Linked DNA regions of Arabidopsis thaliana. The protein of the gene in region 4 purifies or fractionates together with the protein of the main gene of each other region. This does not show direct contact. Each region holds a gene or a part of one and is shown on either strand. Other genes may lie near its edges.

Region 1 (4,668 bases), on a different chromosome or scaffold from region 4:
TGACAGAAATAACATTGCCATTTAACTCTCGGGAATAAACTAGCTTCAATGCTTTTAGTTTAGTCCTCTTCTGATAATTAGTTTCCTGATGCAATTTCCATATAACTAATCACTGATTTACATAAACAAGTTCAAGCTAGAGAAGATTGGAGAATTCTCATTGATTCTGCAAGACTCGACCTTTACTACATAAACTTGAAAAAGTTGAATTTGTAGTAAACTGACCTGTTCAGGCTTTGGCTCGGGTTTTTGTTTCGTTCTTGAAGAAGAAGAAGACTTTGCACCAGGGATAGGACCTTTAATGGGAAAATATCTGTTCTTCTCCTCGTCGTAATAAAACCCAGGAAGTTCTGAAAAAAAAAAAAATCAAAGATAAACCAAATTCCCACATCAAAATCTCGGATACGCAATCGAAAATAGAAGAATCCGTCGAGGAAGAAGATTCAGACCTGGTTTCATGTTGTGTCGGACTTGGAGTCGACTCTGTTCTCTGTGTTCTTTCTCATCAGACACCATTAAAGGCTAACATGCGCCATATAAATAGCTTTAGGTTTTAAGAATTGAACCGGAAACGTGTTTTTATTCAATTATGGTTTAAAATGGACCGGTTTATGATCCGGTTTACAATAGTGAAAAACAGAAAACTAAAACGTATATCCTTTTTGTTCACAACAAACAACTTCAACATTATTTAAAGGGACTCTCCACAAAGCTTTTTAGTTCTTGTGCTGTAATCTCCCACTCTCAGCACCAGCAAAAGGATCAATAATAACATTTACCACCGCGGGTTTTCTTGCGGCGAACGACTCAGCGAGAGCGGATTTAAGCTCATCGGGTGTTTCCACAATATAACCTTTGCCTCCAAAGGCTTCAATGAGCTTGTGGTAGCCTGCATTAGGAACAAATGATGTTGGTGCTGGATCTTCTTTATGAGGACCGGAGATTTCTTCAGGTCCCCTTCGATCACCGCCGTAGACACCACCATTGTTGAAGACTATAATCACCACAGCAAGATTGTATCGAACCAATGTCTGCAATCATCATTAAAGACAAAAGTTCAGACAAAAGACAATTTCCACATTATGCTAATAAGTATGTAAATCTTTTTACTACCTCGACTTCCATGGCGCTGAAGCCAAAACCAGAGTCTCCTTCAACAGCGACAACAAGCCGATCAGGAGAAGCAACAGCAGCAGCAATACAATAACCTAAACCAACACCCATAGTTCCCCAAGTTCCTGCATCAAGCCTTGTCCTTGGCTCTTTCTGAACCAAAACAGATCTTCCTACATCCATTGTATTAGCTCCTTCCGATACCACAACAGGACTCGGTCCTTCCACAGCCAAAATAGCGTCTCTGATTATCCTCATAGGAGTCAAGAAATTGAAAGGAACCACATCTTTAGCAAGCTGTATCTCCATCTTCTCACCATTCTCTTTCGCCTTCTTCGAAATCGATTCCACCCATGAATTAGACTTCCCTAAACAAAAAGGATCGTCTTTGATCTCTCTATTCAACAATCCAATCACAGTTTTAGCATCTCCAACAATCCCCAAATGAGGTTTCCTTAGCTCAATCTCTTCCTCAGAGACATCCACCAATATAAATTTTACATCTTTATCCCATTTAGGCGACTCTCCGAAATGAAGAAGCCAGTTAAGCCTAGCTCCAACCACCAACGCGACATCACATTTCCCAATAGCAAGAGACCTCGCCGCAGTCGCCGAGAACTCGTGTGTGTCCGGTAACAAACCTTTACCCATCGGAGTTGGTAAAAAGGGTATTCCAGTAATTTCAACAAGCTTCTTCAGCTCATCTTCTGCTCTCGAATACGCAGCTCCTTTACCAAACACAATCAACGGCCTCTCAGCTTTCCTCAGCAACGAAACCGCCGATTCAATCTCCGATCTCAGAGATCCACGAATCGGTTCTTCCTTCCGTGATCTCTCAACCTCATCCACCAATTTATCAGCTTCCGATTCCGATATCTTCTGACGCAACACATCAGTCGGAATATCCAGATAACACCCACCGGGTCGACCCGAAACAGCTCGATCCAAAACCCTAGAAACACAATCAGGGATTTCACGAACATCTTTCGCTTTCTCTGATAATTTCGAGAAAGCTTTAACCGCTTCGATCTGATCAAGCTCCTGGAAATCTCCACGACCAACATCTCTCTGATCACAAGAACCAGAGATCATCACCATCGGCCATGTATTAACCCAAGCGTTGGAAAGACCCGCGAGCCCATGAACACAACCCGGACCCGAAACCGTTAAAAGGATACCCGGTTTACCCGTGAGGTAACCGTAAGCTGAAGCGGCGTAACCAGCGGATTGTTCGTTGTGGAAGGCGATGAAACGTATACCTAAAGCCATAGCTCGGCTAGCTAGAGACGTGACGGGGATTCCAACGACGCCGAACATGTGGGTTACGCCGAGATGAGAGAGTGACTTGGCCACGAGAACGTTGCCATCAATTGACGGTGGAGTGGTTTCTGATTTATCCGCCATGTTCTCTTGGATTTGCTCAAAGTTTCAGTTTCTTCTACTTGCTTTAGTTTCTTTATATAGCCTTTTGTATTTGTGTTTTACTCTTACTGTGATTACGTGTTTTGCATTAATGCTACTATTAGCCTATTATTGACTTCTTTATTTGCATTTTGTGTGTTCTCTGAAAATTTTATCTACAAACTTGTACACGTAATTATGTGTGTTTTGCTAATTTAAAAGTTATCTACGTAGCAAATAGTAAAATTCTCAACAAATTGATTATACGACCAAACTATACATGAATTTCTTTATTTTTGGCAACTTACATTATTCAATAACAAAGTAGTATGACAGATAACTTAATTTACAAAGGTATTGTGATTTAGTGATTCAATAAAATATATCTTTGGTTTTGGTCACTAGCGACTCCTACTTACCTAATCTTCTCAATAATTTGGATTTGGATGTGATAAAATGATAAATTTATGAGTTCATGGTTTGGAACAAGTGACCTTGTATAACCCTTGAGGGCTGCCACTAGAATTGTTTTGTAGTTAGCAAAGAAAACAAATCAAATTTGGATTTGTTCTTTTACACAAAGTGGATGATTTTGACCACGACAAAACTAGAGCACCACTCAAAGATTTCTCATGATTTTGCGAGTCTACAAAATAAATTTTTTTTTCTCCAACGGTAGTGAATTCCACAATCGATTGAGCTAACAATTTATCAAATAAACTTGGACTCGTTTAATTTAATGAAGAAAACAGAAGAGCTTGACAAAAAGAAAAAAACAACAACGTGTGGAACCATTAACAATCAAACATCTTTAATGGCACGCACGTCCTCTCTCAAAAAATTTCCTCACGTATACATACGCTCAAAACATTCAAGAACCAATGCTAAGGTTCCCATTTGAGTTCTTTTTGTAAACAAAAACATGGCGAGATCGCTCAAGAAATCAGCCAAGTTGAGTCTAAGAAGAGTCCGGATCAATTCACCTTCGATTAGGTTCAAACCGGACTCGAGTTCCATAGAGAGAGACCAAAGAATCGAGTTTCTAGGCGAAAATGGTGATGATGCCGGATCCGGAGAAGAAGACACCAAAGAAGCAAACAATGAAAGTGAAGAGGTTGAAGATAAGGAAGAAGAAAGAGTCAAAGTAATTGTAGAGGAGGAAGAAGAAAAAGAACAAGATGATGCCAAGAGCTTTAACATTGGAGGCGGAGAAGGAAAAAAAGAGGCGGTGGCAGCGGTTGAGGCGGTTGAGGAGGAGGCGGAAGGCGGGAATAGAGTAATGGTGGTGGTTGATAAAGCGCTTGCTTCTACCGGAGCTTTAGAATGGGCTATTACGCATACTTTACAACCACAAGACACTCTTTTTCTGTTATACTTTGCAAAACCGTTTAGAAAAAGTTCTTCTCTTTCTCTCCTCTTTGTCAATTTTCTTGTTTAAGGTTTGTTTGGTTTGGCTAATGAGGTTTTTCGGATTGAGTTTTAGGTAAAAGGAAGAACCGAAAACGCGAGGTGAAAACCGATGAATTGGTCCATACTTTAAAGAAACTGTGCCAAACGAAACGACCCGGGGTGAGTCACACTTGGTATTCGATTGTTTATACATATAATGAAAGCTACACTATTACTGTTCTGATCAAATTCTGGCGACGTGTGGATTTCTTTTATGAATGTCAGATAGAAGTGGAGATAAGGAGGTTAGAGGGGAAAGACAAAGACAAAGGGCAGAAGATAGTTGAAGAATCAAAGAAACAACAAGTGAGCCTTTTAGTGGTTGGACAAGAGAAGAAACCTCCGGTCTGGAGGCTATTGAAGAGATGGGCGTGGAAGAGACGCCGTGGACACGAAGGTGTTCTCAAATACTGCCTCGAAAACGCCTCTTGCATGACAATCGCGGTTAAACCCAAGAACCGCAAGCTCGGCGGTTACTTAATCACCACCAAACGCCACAAAAACTTCTGGCTTCTCGCTTGACAACAACGCAAGTTTTCCTCTTTTGTGTTTGTATCATTCATAAGGCTTTAAAATTTTTTCACCTATTTCATCTTTTATACATGAAACAAACTTGCTCCAGTACACAAAAATCAAATAGGCCTTTCTTGGATTATTGATATAACAATGTTACTGCACAAGAACTATGAACAATTTTCCCTATCT
Region 2 (4,792 bases), 6.1 Mb from region 4:
ACAAAACCTTTAACCTCATAGCTGATTTTGTTTTGTTATTTCTCTTAGATCCAACTTATATAATGGCACCGGTCTTGAAAACTCGCTCTGCCCGAGACGAGCTGAAGAAGTTGTTTGCAGGTTCGTAAAACTCAGTTTAGCATAAGGATTTAGATATGTTCACTATCACACACTAAGGATTCTATGTTCCTTTTTGCAGCGTGGTATGAGCGAAGACAGATGAAGAAAATCTACTCTCCTCTTCTTGAAGGGCTTTTGGGTCTATACCTCGGCTTTGAATGGATTCAGGTTTTTACTTCTTCTGTTCACGCATTTCTTTTTTCGACATGTCGTAGTAAAATCGTTGATACCAAACTGAAAATATTGCAGACAAACAATCTTCTTGCTCCTATCATCACACATGGTATATACTCAGCCGTTGTATTGGGTAATGGTCTCTGGAAACTACACCATCATCAGCAAAGACTCCGGCTACGTGTTCAGAAACTTGAAACTGAAGGTGACAACAACTCAAGATAGATAAATAACTGTATAAAACATTATCCTTTGTTTTAAATTTTGTAAAGTGTCTGAAGTATTGAGCCACCATTGACTTGTACAAATAGATAGAAGCAAAGTAAATGTATAGAACCATTTAGTTAATAAGAGAGTAGCTATGTGAAGCTTTTATTTTATGATCTTCCATCTGATTTTATACTTGTTCAAGTTGAGAAATGATCCTGATGAAGACATCAAAGCCTTGGCACATGTCTGTAAGAAGGCAGTATTCGTTCTTTGCATGATATGTAGCCATGAGACCTGCAACAAAATTAAAATAGATAAGGATCAAAGATGAGGAAATTCAGCAAAGGAGAGAATCCGAGTTGGGTTTTGTAATACCGTATCCTGAAGTTTGCACATCAAAACCTTCATCCTACAAACCAAGAGCATGATTCATTGGTTTAGAAAGAGTAAGTTGTAGAGAACTCTGAAAGATCAGTCTTGAGTCTAGTTAAAGTACGGTTTATCAAATGGTTTACCTGGAGGTCTCGGATTAGAGGTAAAGTACCGGTGATCGAGTAAGGCTTCACGTGTCCAACAACTTCTTCGGTTGCTTTGCATAGAACGTGAAAGCCGGGAGAATCAAGATTACACGCAACTCCAGCTGATGCTTCATCAAAACTTAACGTGAGCCTGCAAGTGACAATTAAGACTTTTTAAGATTTCGGTAGGGACAATAAAATGAGAGAAAGAATAGAATCAGGAGAAGAAGAAAGTCCAAACCTTCCCCGTAAATTCTCATCTGGTAAGACATATTTTGAAACAGGACCACGGGTTTCGAGCCTCTCTATGTTACCGTTTATGTCGTCAACATACTCTTGCAACTTCGTTATCACTTCCTTCACGCTGCAAAAACAACCAAAAAGCCATTAAAGTGTGTCTAAATGCATTGAAGAAACGAGTAAGACAAGTGTGAAGAGACTTACTCATAGAAAGGAGTCAACCTGACATCACCCGAAACAGTACATTCTCCGGGGATTTGGTTGATTCCACCTGCTGGATCTGCAAAACCAAACAATTTATTGTAAGTAGACAACATGTAAAGTCATTAGGCACACAACATGCTATAGATTCCAAAACTTACAACACCACTGTGTTGGCTTCATGGTGGATGGTGTTGCAAAACCATAAACTTCCTCTTGTGGGTGAGGCGGAAAGTCTCTGTAGAACCGAGCTTGGATTTCCTTAAGCCCTTCCATTGCTAACTCCATCGCGTTAATCGCCTTCGTACAAACAGAAGAAAAGATCAATGCCAAGTTTGCAACTTCATCTAGAGTAATCCATTCATATATAAAATACCTTGTGAGCTAAACCGCTATGGAAAAGCTTTCCAGTAAACTGAAGCTTCCATGGTATCATACCCCCAGTTCCAACACACGGCTGCTTATCCGCTGTATCAATCCAATACCTTCAAAAGAATACACATCAATAAGCTTCAATCATCCTTCAATTTTCATCTAAAAACTCCCCAAGAAATTTCTAACAGAATGGAAACTAACAAGGGTCCGGATTTGAGCTTATCAAGAAGTTTGTCTTTCACCAGCATGTCCACACCAACACCAGGAATGGAAGAGTTCTCTTCGCTAGCGATGAAAACCGCCACCACCGTTGATTTCAACGCCGGTTTGGCTTGCCCGAGTTTCTTCATGAGTTCAGTGACAAGAGCAACGTGACCAAGACAATCTGTTGTCCCACGACCACGAAGCTTATCACCATCTATGCTTAGCGAGAAAGGATCAAATTCCTATGAACAAAAACCGAAGTCAACCAGAGAATCCAAAATTCAATGTAACCGATTAAACCCTAGAGTACACAAAACAGAGAAAGCTTTGAAATTTGGAACAATTCAGATCAGTTCATCGGAAATTAAACAGAACCCAGTATCAGATTTTAAGCTAATTCTAATGGGCACCGATCAAAATCACATATTTAGAATCAATCAAAATTACCCAATCATCAGGATTCGCAGTGACGACGTCCATATGCATTCCGACGAAAGACAAGATCTTTCCGGGAACAGATCCTGGGTACTCAACGATGAGATTACCTCTACCTGAATGATACGCGACATGATTGATCACCAGAGGACCACCACCAGTTTCTGTGCTATAAGGACGGAGAGAGTCAAGGACGTGTTTGACGATTAGGTCCTCTTGAGGGATGAGCTCCGGCGGATTGTTCTGGACGAATTTAGATTCGCCTATGAGTTTTGATAAGAGAGAAACGTATGAGTCTTTGTCAAGAGAGCCTATGGATTCGATCAGTGCTTTGGAAGACGAAGCCATTTTTGTTACACCAAAGATGTTTTTTCTTTTGGGGTTTGCAAACAAAACTAATAAGGTTTTGGTCAGCTTGTCTACGAGCTTCGTGTGTTGTTTAAGGTTTTGGACCTTTTCGGGTGGAGTGTTACGCTAATTAATTAAAAAATTATACGGAACCAAATTAATTAATGTACATATCACTATCCTCAACAACGAAAAAGAATTAAAAATCTACAGAAGGCTTTGCTTAATGTTGTTCATGTCTTCTATGGATTCCAAAATGTATTCCTTGGCTTTAGGATCTATGGCAACTCACACAAGCAACATCAATTGGCCACGCATCAAGTAAGGATCTGTTGCAACATCGCTCTGGATATTACCCTATGAAGCATGGAGGATAATATATGACCAATTCTTAAATCCACATCAGTTCAAATAGTTGATAAGTAGGTGCATTCGAATACGATATGGTATGGTCACGTGTTTCGGGACAGCCACACGATTCTATATATATGTGGTTATATCATTAAGTATGTAAGTTATGGATTGAAAAGAAACAGTTGATATCCTATCACTTTCGAAAATATTGCAACCAGGCAATCAATTATCCAAGTCGGTTCATCTTCTTAGTCACATAACTAAACCGAGAGCACACAAACAACGAGATTGACATGGAGCTGATCAGACCTAGCGTGATATATAATGTAATTGTGTTAATGCCGATTTCTGATAGATCCAATCGAAAGCAATTGTGTTAATGCCGATTGAGTTGTTAATATAATTGTAATACAAGTGATCACAGCTTCAACCATATATAAGGGATTGTGGTTGATAAGTTCTCAAAAGGTCTTTGGAAAAAGATATCCACGCTTTACTCAAACAACCCAAATAGACTCTTCTCGGAAAATGACTATATATTAATATTAACTTCTTGGCACATGTGATGATGTGAAGATCCACGAGAGAAACAACTAAACGATTAACTAATGAAATTCGACTATGAAAAAATTAGATTTGTTATTTAATTGAATTATTAGTTTAGTCTAATCAAATAACAATGCTAAGAGGTAAACGACAGAATTCTAAAAATTATACTTCACAATCTAATTATATTTTCACATGATATAGTAATAGTTTTTACTTTTAAAACTCCAACTTTAAATGGCGCCGAATACGTCATCCTTTGTCGCAAATTGCAACCAAAGTTTTTGCCATTTATGAAAACAAAGGTGAAAGAGACAATGGATGATTGATATGGGGATTCGAACCATGCTGAGCAGAAGAAGACAGTATAATTAAAGTATCCTATCTCACTGATTCAATGGACTGTTCCTCTCACAGATACAAAATCCCTAAATCCCTTTTTAATTTCATTTGGTCTTAGCATCAAACATCTGTAATTTATTTGCATGCCAACAAATTCATATCTCAGTTGTGCTTTTACGTACACGAATCTTGGTCGGTATATATATATATATATATATATCTGCTGTCTTCTTCGGTTTGTCTTGCTTCATCTTCAAAGTATTACATTTTCTTTCTTTAGAAGAACCTTAATAAGAGTCGATAACCCTAATAATTAAGCGTCCAAATCGTCACTGGGATCTCTAAGTGAAGATTGTTCTTTTTCTAAGTTAATTCAACCGCTAGAAAAGAAAATCATTTGGGTAAATATTAGAATTAAGTTTGAATATGACCATGCGTTGTAGATATTTTTATTTTTATTTTTATTTTACAATACATATACTATCAATGATTGGTGTAAATTTTAAAAAAGATAAATAGAAAATCTACATGCTATGTCGAAAATATATATTATAAAATAAAGAAAATGTATGATGCTAGCTAGAGATGGTGAGGAAGCGGGGACCAAAACTAGAAGAAACAACATATTGTTATGAATCAAGAGGATGCCCATTATAAGGCCCATTATCTAAGCCCATCATCGAGATGTTTCTAGGGTTTTACCCTTTCCTTGTACTCCTATATAA
Region 3 (4,108 bases), on a different chromosome or scaffold from region 4:
GGTTGTCTTCAGTTCACTGTCCTGTCTGATTGAAAATGTGGAACTTATAGAGAATCTGTGTTAAATTATAGAGCCATCATTGTTTTTGATGCAGCGAGCATGTGATGAGTGAGAAAGGATACTCTTCGTTACTATCGTTCACTGTAGCAGACATTAATACAACAATCTCTAAACTTATGGAATTAGGAGCTGAACTCGATGGCTCTATCAAATATGAAGTCCATGGCAAGGTAAAAACGCAACCACTTCCTGCAAATGCTTTAATCTCATTGTCTAACATTTCTTTTGATAAGAATTCAAATCTTTCTTTTTCTTGATAACCAGGTTGCTTCTGTGAGATGTCTTGATGGTCATGTGCTCGGACTCTATGAACCTTCATGAGTTTTCTATTCAGTTCGGATTATGTGGATTTGATTTTGTTTTTTTCGATCCGATTTTGGTTGAATAATGTTTCAAAATTTTGCTAATCGGATGTTTGGTAAGGACTTAGCTCTAAGACAAATGTAAATCTAATATATCCGGCGCAGAAAAGTCGTTAATTGATTGTTCAACTAATCGTCTAGACATTCGATCTATTAAAGACAGGGGAGATATGTTTTACAAATTTAAAAGCAAAGATGTTCAGAAACAAAAACAAAAATCAAGGTGCTGCTGCATTTCTTATTCTGAAATCTGAACAAAATACTCGTGTTAAACAATGTGGTTTGAAATCCCATTTCCAATTGCTCAAAAATAAGCAAGACAAATAGGGCTTTTACAAAAACAGAAAGGGATTTTTCAATGGTTCTTCCTGGCAAGCTTAGTCCATTCAGTATGGTACGCACCAGGACGATCGGTTCTCTCATAAGTGTGAGCTCCAAAGAGATCTCTCTGCGCCTGAACCAGATTCGCCGGCAATCTAGCACGTCTATAAGTATCGAAATACGCAAGACTAGCACACATTCCAGGCGTGCTAATCCCAGCAGAAACAGCCAAACCAACAACTCTTCTCCAAGCAGCTTGTCTCTGAACCATCTCTTTAGCAAACTCAGGATCAACCACAAGACTAGCCAAGTCCGGGTTCCTCTGGTAAGCTTTCTTGATCCTATCCAAGAAAACCGCTCTTATAATACAACCACCTTTCCAAATCCTAGCCAATTCACCAAAATTCAAGTTCCAACTCTTCTCTAAACTCTTAGCTCTAAGCAAATTCATCCCTTGAGCATAACTACAAATCTTGGAAGCATACAAAGCTTGCCTAACATCATCAACCAATCTCTTCTTATCGATTCCACTCGACGCAGAACCAATCTCTTCTTTCAATCCAGCTTCCCTCAACACTTTCGCTGCATTCTCCCTCTCATCTTTCAACCCACTCAAATACCTACAATCCAACGAAGCAGCAATCGTCGGAGCTGCAACAGACAGCTCCGCCGCTTGCTGCACCGTCCATTTCCCAGTACCTTTCATACCAGTCTTATCCAAAATCTTATCAACTAACTCTCCATCACCAAACTCATCCTTAACCCTAAATATATCAGAAGTTATCTCAACCAAGAAACTCTCAAGCTCACCTGAATTCCACTCAGTGAAAATCTCAGCAAGCTCCTCGTTGCTTAATCCACCAACGTTCTTCAACACATCATAAGCTTCAGAGATCAATTGCATATCTCCATACTCAATCCCATTATGAACCATCTTCACGAAATTTCCAGATCCACCTTCTCCGATGTAAGTAACACAAGGTCCATCTTCAACTTGAGCTGCGACTTTCTCCAAAATATCTTTGATGTTATCATAAGCTTGAAATGATCCACCAGGCATTAACGAAGGACCGTTACGAGCTCCTTCTTCGCCGCCGGAGACTCCCATACCTAAATAGAGCAATCCTTTTTGCTCAGCTTCGGAGATCCGTCGCTCTGTGTTCTGATACCATTCGTTTCCACCGTCGATGATGCAATCTCCTGGCTCCATGTATTCGGAGAAGGCGTCGATTGTTTGGTCAACGGGAGCTCCAGCTTTGACGAGGATGATGAGAGATCTAGGCCGTTGGATCGAGAGGACGAAATCGCGGGGAGAGTATTGGCCGGAGACTGGGAGGTTTCCTTCGACGGCGGCTCGATCTAGGGTTTCGTCGACTTTGGAAGTGGTTCGATTGTAGACTGAGATTGGGAAACCTTTCTCGGCGATGTTTAAGGCGAGGTTTTGGCCCATCACGGCGAGTCCGGCGAGACCGATTCGGGATAGTGCGGCGGACTCCATTGGAGATAGAGAGATGAGCTTAGGATTGGTTAGGTAGAGAGAGAAAAATGAGGTAGTGGGAGTGATGAGAGAGAGTGGGTGGAGATATTTATACTGTGAAAATGACGGACTCGTCGATGGAGCCAAGGGACAAACGAAAACGATGATCTCTATGTTTTTCAAAACGGTGTCGTCTCGTCTAGAACTCCATGTTAACAAACGTTGCCGTTTTTGTTTCAAATATGATTCTAATGTTTTTGTTAAATTAAAAATGTTTACAAATCACACTCTAACATAAAAATTTAATCATAGCTTAAGGATTTGCTTGTCGTTATATGCAAATGACTTACGAAAATTCATACAATAACATTCGTTTAATTTTTTTAATATCCAACTAGTGGGCTGTTTGATTTATTAATCTCTAATGATGTTTCATATCTAATATATATTTTGGTTGTAACAACATTTTTTAATACGATCAATATGGTAGTGTCCATGTCGAACTTGGACTCTCTACCTCTTCTTTTTAGTCTCTATAAAAGTTTTTCAATTATTTTACATCAACTTGATACATTAGCCTTTTGACGATGTTGAATGGTCGGACAACTTTCCATCTACGATCTCACCATTCTACTGGATAACCAAGTATCTTTCTTATATGATGATAGGAGACTAAGTGGATCAATTAAACAAGACAGAGTTTATCAATGAGATGGTGTTTATCCTTCATAACACTCGCACATGTAATTACCCTTGTGGCCTTGACAAGAACCACCCATAAAACCTTGTGTCTTACAGGAACTGTAACACATACTTTTCTTCTCCACACCGTTAGGATCTGGGCATCGTCTTCCCGTTGGATTCATACTTTTTGCATCTCTTAACTCTATAATTTTAATAAGAAAAAAAGTTAAGGGGTTCATTTACTAAACCAAGAAAATTAGAAACAATGATTTCTATGAACTATTGTCTATTTGATGTGTAATGTAATGATGAACAATAGAGAGCACATATATAGGCAAAGAACAAAGGAGAAGGAGATTTTGTTAGACGCCATTTTCTTTATTGAAGTTCTTTTTTGTTCCTTCAAACAAATAACACTATAACAGTGTGTGAATTTAGCCAAGAAGGAGGAGACTTTGAACCCATCTAAATAAATAGGCAATTAGGCATATACAGCTAAAAATAAATATGGCTATGTATATCTAAAAAAAAGTATGTGAATTTGACGAAGAAGGATGAGACTTTGACCATCCTGTGACGCTTTCTTTCTTGTAATCAACCATGTGTCACGAAGGAGAAGTTCTAAATCTTAGGTAACAAAAAGTGTGACAAAGTTAGGATAAAAAGTTGACAAGATGATGAGCAACTTACTCTTATCATTATCAATACACCACCAAACCAAACAAATATTTATATCAATTAACAACAAAAGACCAATGCCCATCAACAAATTACACATAATTTAGAAAAAATGGTGACAATAGAAAGAAATGGATAAATGGAGCCACAAACTTTCCTTGGTTATAAAGTTGGAGTCACTCATCAAGCTGCACCAACCTTGCCGAAGAGCGACTTTCGGATCTACACACATTTCAAGAAAAGATCCTTTAGAACAAAACTAAAAATACTTAGGACAAGACAAATGAGGTTTCAAGAGTTTTGAAACCAATAAGAAGGTATAAGCTTAGGAACATGGTACTACAAATTTAAGAGAGCAAATGGGGATTTTAATTTAACCTCTGGAAGTTTATTGCGGAAGGCAACCTCCAACCTCGCATCAAGCGTGTTTTCACACACGATTTTCCCATCACGAGAAGCCAAAACCACTCCTCCTGCACTGTTATATATCCACAAGTGCCATATTGGTATTAGAGTTTTTGATTCT
Region 4 (7,138 bases):
CGAAAATCAAAACTCAGGAACGAGAAGCTTATCATTTGATTAAAGATCACAGGAAACATGAATAGAGCTGATGAAGCAGAGAAGCAGAGTGAGTTACCGAGAGACAGTCTCTGTATTTTTTCCACTCGGCAACACACTCTTCTTTATCCCATTGGCCTTTAACAAACTTCTCCGAGTACCATCTGCAGAAAAAAATCAAGAAAAAAAGATGCAATTTTTAGCGTTTTGGACAGACAGATAAATACACCAACCAAAGGGAAGAATTAGAAAGGAAAAAGGAATAAGACAATGCCATCCAAATGGTCCAAACCTTTCAAAAGACCAGAAATGAAATCCCTGAAAAAAATACCCATTTGGCTAACCAAAGCTAAACCCTTAAACCCAGCAACTAGCTAAATCCATCAAAAGGAGAAACAAACGAAACTCACTTGTTGAAGCAATTGTGGTAAGCGTTTCGCAAATCGGCGCAGGGAGAAGTAGAGGAGCGAGCTGAAGTTGAATCTTTTTTCTTCAATAAGCCCATTGTCGTTGCAATCACCACTAATACTCTGTCCCACCTTAGCAACTCTGAAAATCCATCTATCTATAATTCAGAAAAAAAAAAAACCTATATCATCACTCTTAAGAAAAGGATAAAAATGTAAACAGTGAGACAATAAGAATCTAACACAACAACAAGCTTCAGAATTCATCACAAACAGAGAAATATAATCCAAGATGACCAAAAGACAACTAAAAGATTCATTTTTGATACTCTAAAAATATAAATGAACATAACCAAAGTTGCAGAAAGAATCAAATAGAGAGATTGTATCAAAAATGAAACTCAGACAATGCAAAGTTTTAAGAAGTATGAAGCTTTTCAAGGATAATAGAATTTCAATACCCAAAAAAAAAAGAAAAAAAATCAGATCTCAGAAGGAAAAAGAATTGAAATTTACCCTGAATTTGATTAAAACGGGATATCCCGTAAAACCTCAGATTCTCCGAGATTGAGAGTCTCTCGTCTAACTCAGAAACCGTAAATTTAAACACCCGACCTAGACGACGACGACGACGAAGCTTGGGAAGAACTCGATTGGAAAGATCCTAACGACGTCGTTTCAGAAGACGAAAACCCTAGGCAAGAAAGAAAACTAAATTAGTCTCGTTGACCAAAAAAAGAAAGAGAGGAAATTAACATTAAAAAAGAGAAACTATACAATTCAAAATTTTAAAGTCTTATTATGATGATATAAATAAGGGAATAAAGATCATCTTCATCTCACTGTTAAGTATAATGGCCGAGCTCCAAGGGACAGAGGCTACAACCTGATGAAGCTACGTGGAACATGGCGGATGCTCCTCGAGAAACGGACACGCCGAGCCAAGAAGATCACCCTGGTCATCAGTACAACATGGGACTCAGGGGATGTTGGGAATCTGATCAAGGAGATGATTGAGGATATAGAACGATTAAATGTGTGTTGTTCAAACTAGATCCGCGGGACTTTGAGTTGACGAGTAGTAGTGACATTGAATCTTCTTATGAACAAGTGTAATCTGATTAAACATTTCTTCACTGGTCAAAACACATTTTGTCATATTCGGCCTAGCTTGGAGATGCTAATGGATAATCCAACGTCATTGAATTTGATAGTGATATTATTGAATGTTTTGTAAATGTTATTAACGTTGCGTCCTCTACTAGAAACGAATCACTCGCGTGGCGTAACATAAAACAATTGCTTACAACCCTCGTATTATAAAAGACAAAACTCCAACAAGAGAAAACAAAAAAAAATCATATCTGCAAGTAATAGAAAATGGATCAGTTCAAAGGTGAGCCTCGTCTACCCAAGTTCGCCGTCCCCAAGCGCTACGATCTCCGCCTCAATCCCGATCTCATCGCCTGCACCTTCACTGGAACTGTAGCCATCGATCTCGACATAGTCGCCGATACTCGTTTCATCGTTCTCAACGCAGCTGATCTCTCCGTCAACGATGCCTCCGTTTCCTTCACTCCTCCTTCCTCCTCTAAGGTCTCTCTATCGCGTTTCTTTTTTGCTGTTATGGATTCCGATTTTAGCAATGTGATTGGAGTTATGGTTTTGAGCTAATTAGCGCCTTGGAGATATTCATTTTCATGATTAGCTTCTTGATCTGAGTATTTGGATATCATCATCTATGATTTTTGATTCCAATGGTAAATTAACTAGAGAGATACAATCACGTTTCAGCCAGACTTTTCTGTTCGACTGAAAAACCAATCCTCAACTTTAGAAAACTGTCATGGATTGGAATTGAATCTGGAATCAGCAAAGATTTAGCTTGTTGTTGCTTCTTATGTTTTGTTAAGCAGGCGCTTGCAGCTCCAAAAGTTGTCTTGTTTGAGGAGGATGAGATTCTCGTGCTTGAGTTTGGTGAGATTCTTCCCCATGGAGTGGGAGTTCTGAAACTTGGTTTCAATGGAGTACTAAATGACAAAATGAAGGGATTCTACAGAAGGTAAAGCAATGAGTTTCGATCTTTTTTTACTGTTAGATAGCTCGAGATTAATTCTAGAACGATCTTGTATTTGTCTTGGTGGCAGTACTTATGAACATAACGGTGAGAAGAAGAATATGGCAGTTACCCAGTTTGAACCAGCTGATGCTAGGAGATGCTTTCCATGTTGGGATGAACCTGCTTGCAAGGTTTCCACTTGTTCTTTCTCATTCCCTCCTCTTTCTATCAGCATGAGTTTATCAAGTTGGTGATTTTGTTCTTCTTCTGTCTTTATCTATCAATATTGACACATTGTTCAACAGGCTACCTTCAAGATTACATTAGAGGTGCCAACTGATTTGGTGGCTCTCTCCAATATGCCAATAATGGAGGAGAAAGTCAATGGGAATCTGAAGATTGTCTCCTATCAAGAGTCACCAATCATGTCTACATATTTGGTAGCAATTGTTGTTGGTTTGTTTGACTACGTGGAAGATCATACATCCGATGGTAAATTAATTTTATCCATTATTATCTCCCGTCTAGTCAAGTCGAGAAGCTCTAAATCAAGTTTCATCTTTTTCTCAGGGATTAAAGTCAGAGTATACTGTCAAGTGGGCAAAGCCGACCAAGGGAAATTTGCATTGCATGTTGGTGCCAAGACATTGGATCTGTTCAAAGAGTAGGTCCTTCGTTGACATTTGAAACTTTATGTGCATGCATATTTCTGAGCTTCTTTAATGGATGTATCATCTCATTGCATAAGTCCAATCATTCTTGTAGGTACTTTGCTGTGCCATATCCCCTTCCCAAAATGGATATGATTGCAATACCAGATTTTGCTGCCGGAGCTATGGAGAATTATGGTTTAGTTACATACCGTGAAACAGCTCTTCTCTATGATGAACAACATTCAGCTGCTTCTAACAAACAGAGGGTACTGTAAACATGTCCATTTATTCTCTAGAGGAAATTGTCTTGTGCTCTCTTGTGCAATTATCTAAAGCAGTTAAATTTCTGCTGCTAGGTTGCCACTGTAGTTGCTCATGAACTGGCCCACCAGTGGTTTGGCAATCTTGTTACTATGGAGTGGTGGACTCATCTATGGCTGAATGAGGGTTTTGCTACTTGGGTACATTGCAAACTTAGGTCTTAGTATTAACAATGATTTTGAGTTTTGTTGTGAATATATTGTTACTCTTTATCTGTTTCAGGTCAGCTACTTGGCTACTGATAGTTTGTTCCCTGAATGGAAAATCTGGACCCAGTTTTTAGATGAATCTACTGAGGGTCTAAGGCTAGATGGGCTTGAGGAGTCTCACCCGATAGAGGTAACCAAAATGCTGTCAATATGTCTTCACAGAATAATGTCGGTTTTCCTTAATTTCACTATCGATCCCAGAGATACCCTATTGCCTATTTGTCATAAGTCCATAAATTTCCCCAGGTGGAGGTTAATCATGCTGCTGAAATTGATGAAATATTTGATGCAATAAGCTACAGAAAGGGTGCATCTGTCATCCGCATGCTACAAAGCTATCTTGGTGCTGAGGTTTTTCAGGTTCGCTCTCATGCCCATTTCTTCAGTTACAAAAGAATTGCAGCGTTTATATTATGCATGTAAATATGGTGGCTTCTAGTTCCAGTTTCACTAATGTCTCCAAAACATCTTACCCTACTTGTTTGGCTTTTGGTGAGCAGAAGTCTCTTGCTGCATACATTAAAAATCACGCTTATTCAAACGCGAAGACAGAAGATTTATGGGCTGCTTTGGAAGCGGGATCCGGAGAACCTGTGAACAAGCTTATGAGTTCTTGGACAAAGCAAAAAGGATATCCTGTCGTCTCAGCCAAAATAAAAGATGGAAAATTGGAACTCGAGCAGGTACTTAGACTTATTTCCCTTTCTGGATGTTCTGTTTATACCACTTTGGGATATTGTGCATGATTAAGTAACGAAATTCATTTGAAATTTTCAGTCTCGATTCTTGTCAAGTGGTTCTCCTGGGGAAGGACAATGGATTGTACCAGTGACCTTGTGTTGTGGTTCATATGAAAAGCGCAAAAACTTCTTATTAGAATCCAAATCTGGAGCGTATGATTTAAAGGAATTATTGGGCTGCTCCATTGCCGATGGTAGCGACAAAATTAATGGGACATGTTCTTGGATAAAAATCAATGTTGATCAGGCTGGATTCTATAGGGTGAAATATGATGACAGCCTTGCGGCTGGACTCAGAAATGCAACAGAGAGCCAAAGCTTGACTTCTATCGATAGATATGGTAATTCAACCTTGCAGAATTTTGTTTTCTGGTTGACAGAATGAAATTTCTTTGGAGATAGATATCCTACTTTGTATTTCACAGGTATTTTGGATGATTCGTTTGCACTTACTATGGCTCGTCAGCAATCACTGGCCTCATTGCTCACTTTGTGTAGTGCTTACAAGAAGGAACTTGACTATACTGTGCTGTCAAATCTTATTGCTGTAAGGATCTCCCCTTTCTGTCTTTAAATTCCCTGGTCCATAAGTTTGCTTTTGCTTCTGGCTCTTACTCTTCTTCCATACAGATAAGCTACAAAGTTGTGAAGATTGGAGCAGATGCAAATCAAGAACTGATGTCTGGGATTAAACATTTCTTCATTGGCGTTTTCCAGTTTGCTGCTGGGTAAGCTGTTTTACGCATCTCCAGAATTTAGACTAATGTTCTGTTTTACTAAACAAAAAAAAAACAATGTCGTTACAATGCTGATTGTTCTTACAGGAAACTTGGTTGGGATCCTAAGCAAGGCGAGAGCCATCTAGATGCTATGCTGAGAGGGGAAGTCTTAACTGCACTTGCTGTGTTTGGGCATGATGAGACACTAAAGGAAGCAGTTCGAAGATTTGATGCATTTTTGGCTGATAGGAACACTCCGCTTCTGCCTCCTGACATTAGAAGGGTTTGTTTCTTTTCATAGAACCCGATAACACTTTGAAACTGGAATGGTGAACCTTTTTATTAATTTCTGTATGGGTTTTGTGTTTGCAGGCTGCTTATGTTGCTGTAATGCAGAGAGCTAACAAATCAGACAAATCTGGTTATGAGTCTCTTCTGAGAGTTTATAGGGAAACCGACCTGAGCCAAGAGAAAACACGAATCTTAGGTAACTTGACTGCAAACTTTGGTCTCGTACCTGAAAAATAAAATAAATAAAAATTTGTGGTTCAAGTAGTAATGTTTCCTTTGTGACTTTGCAGGTTCTTTAGCATCTTGCCCAGACCCCACTATAGTTCAAGATGTTCTTAACTTCGTATTGTCTGATGAGGTAGATTATATGGATTTTGCTTTCCACTCTGTAGAGTTAGTAAATAATCAATATCATTGCGCTTGAAAAAATTGATGTGATGTGAGGTTCTTATTCTTCCAGGTCCGTAATCAAGATGCACTTTATGGACTTTCCGGTGTAAGTTGGGAAGGACGTGAAGTAGCTTGGAAATGGCTACAGGAAAAGTGGGAGTATATAGGAAACACATGGGGCTCCGGATTTCTCATAACACGCTTCATAAGTGCAGTTGTATCGCCGGTTTGTTCCTCCTCCCCTTTATGCATATCCATAAAATAGCTATTGATCCTCTCGCTGGCCTTTCCCATTGATTACACTTTATGTTGATTGTCTCAGTTTGCGTCGTTTGAGAAAGCCAAAGAAGTGGAGGAGTTTTTTGCAACAAGATCAAAGCCTTCGATGGCAAGAACCTTGAAGCAGAGCATTGAAAGGGTACATATCAATGCCAATTGGGTGGAGAGTATCAAGAAGGAAGATAATCTCACGCAGCTCGTTGCTCAGCTCTCTTCAAACTAAAAGAACTCCGCTACTCGAGAATTAACTAATCATCTGTGACTCGTGATGCTCATGTTTTCTATAAGCCAAAAACATCTGTTGTTTCTTCTTCTCAACACCGAATTTTAAAAGCACTTTTCGAACTTTTGGATTTGCCATCAATAAAGTTTGCCTTTCGAGGTCCGTTCCGACTCCGACTCGTGGACTACTAACGTGGGATACCTTCATTGTATAGTGGATCATAAAAGTCTAGAACTTAACTGTAGTTGATAACTATTCGTGAGTAATTAAAAATACACACAATCTGATACAGTGACTTATTTAAAAGAATTCATTTCCTTTGCAACTCCTTGAGGAAATAGCTTAGAAAGGTTTTACGAAGATCTTCTCCGCAAAAGCTCGGGAAGGCGTGGAATCTCCAGTTTCGAGATAACGAAGAAGAAGTAGAATCCATGAACAGACTTTCCTTTTTTTGTTGTGGTCAGTCAATTTTCCATTTAAATGGGTTTAGTGGGGAAAACGCTAGTGATTTTTTTATACGGTGAGATACTATATTATAATGGGCCATAACTAAGTAGAAAGGAAGGCCCATTATAGCTGAAGCGATAAGATAAGTCCCACATCGGTTATACAGTAGAAAGAGGAAGAACATATATATAGTTAGAGTTGCTAAGATGATTGTCCCTTCGTGGACATCCGATAAAATTGGAACGATACAGAGAAGATTAGCATGTGCCCTGCGCAAGGATGACACGCTTAAATCGAGATATGATCCAAATTTATAATGCAAACATTTTTCGGATCGATTAAACACAGTTTCTTGTGTCACAGTTTTTTTGTACTTGTTTAA

Evidence for each region.
Region 1: the proteins of APM1 (region 4) and AT5G17380 fractionate together in Arabidopsis thaliana (co-fractionation; one large-scale study listed by BioGRID). This does not show direct contact.
Region 2: the proteins of APM1 (region 4) and AT4G17830 fractionate together in Arabidopsis thaliana (co-fractionation; one large-scale study listed by BioGRID). This does not show direct contact.
Region 3: the proteins of APM1 (region 4) and AT1G64190 fractionate together in Arabidopsis thaliana (co-fractionation; one large-scale study listed by BioGRID). This does not show direct contact.

Annotation. Positions count from the first base shown.
Region 1 is NC_003076.8:5,724,204-5,728,871, forward strand, and holds AT5G17380 (Thiamine pyrophosphate dependent pyruvate decarboxylase family protein), read right to left. Parts: upstream 2,710-4,668; 5' UTR 2,518-2,709; coding exon 1,114-2,517; intron 1,032-1,113; coding exon 717-1,031; 3' UTR 556-716; downstream 1-555. Other genes in the region: AT5G17370 (Transducin/WD40 repeat-like superfamily protein), read right to left, coding at 1-85, 226-350, 450-516; AT5G17390 (Adenine nucleotide alpha hydrolases-like superfamily protein), read left to right, coding at 3,437-3,911, 3,998-4,083, 4,189-4,485. UniProt on the Arabidopsis thaliana protein: Catalyzes a carbon-carbon cleavage reaction; cleaves a 2-hydroxy-3-methylacyl-CoA into formyl-CoA and a 2-methyl-branched fatty aldehyde.
Region 2 is NC_003075.7:9,913,949-9,918,740, reverse strand, and holds AT4G17830 (Peptidase M20/M25/M40 family protein), read right to left. Parts: upstream 2,929-4,792; 5' UTR 2,826-2,928; coding exon 2,490-2,825; intron 2,285-2,489; coding exon 2,025-2,284; intron 1,949-2,024; coding exon 1,840-1,948; intron 1,764-1,839; coding exon 1,625-1,763; intron 1,543-1,624; coding exon 1,467-1,542; intron 1,387-1,466; coding exon 1,264-1,386; intron 1,174-1,263; coding exon 1,020-1,173; intron 914-1,019; coding exon 880-913; intron 799-879; coding exon 692-798; 3' UTR 554-691; downstream 1-553. Other genes in the region: AT4G17840 (CAAX protease self-immunity protein), read left to right, coding at 49-120, 200-288, 370-519.
Region 3 is NC_003070.9:23,824,772-23,828,879, forward strand, and holds AT1G64190 (6-phosphogluconate dehydrogenase family protein), read right to left. Parts: upstream 2,366-4,108; 5' UTR 2,242-2,365; coding exon 778-2,241; 3' UTR 557-777; downstream 1-556. Other genes in the region: AT1G64185 (Lactoylglutathione lyase / glyoxalase I family protein), read left to right, coding at 95-230, 325-381; AT1G64195 (Defensin-like (DEFL) family protein), read right to left, coding at 2,940-3,099, 3,219-3,277; VHA-E3 (vacuolar H+-ATPase subunit E), read right to left, coding at 3,922-4,060. UniProt on the Arabidopsis thaliana protein: Catalyzes the oxidative decarboxylation of 6-phosphogluconate to ribulose 5-phosphate and CO(2), with concomitant reduction of NADP to NADPH.
Region 4 is NC_003075.7:15,965,086-15,972,223, reverse strand, and holds APM1 (aminopeptidase M1), read left to right. Parts: upstream 1-1,666; 5' UTR 1,667-1,805; coding exon 1,806-2,021; intron 2,022-2,341; coding exon 2,342-2,487; intron 2,488-2,572; coding exon 2,573-2,675; intron 2,676-2,789; coding exon 2,790-2,976; intron 2,977-3,054; coding exon 3,055-3,148; intron 3,149-3,249; coding exon 3,250-3,403; intron 3,404-3,493; coding exon 3,494-3,598; intron 3,599-3,680; coding exon 3,681-3,797; intron 3,798-3,913; coding exon 3,914-4,027; intron 4,028-4,167; coding exon 4,168-4,350; intron 4,351-4,444; coding exon 4,445-4,748; intron 4,749-4,832; coding exon 4,833-4,954; intron 4,955-5,037; coding exon 5,038-5,135; intron 5,136-5,231; coding exon 5,232-5,409; intron 5,410-5,498; coding exon 5,499-5,613; intron 5,614-5,707; coding exon 5,708-5,775; intron 5,776-5,877; coding exon 5,878-6,033; intron 6,034-6,129; coding exon 6,130-6,309; 3' UTR 6,310-6,631; downstream 6,632-7,138. Other genes in the region: AT4G33100 (protein phosphatase), read right to left, coding at 98-182, 429-523. UniProt on the Arabidopsis thaliana protein: Metallopeptidase that binds to the auxin transport inhibitor N-1-naphthylphthalamic acid (NPA). Required for embryonic and seedling development as well as cell cycle progression. Homodimerization is required to proper localization and activity.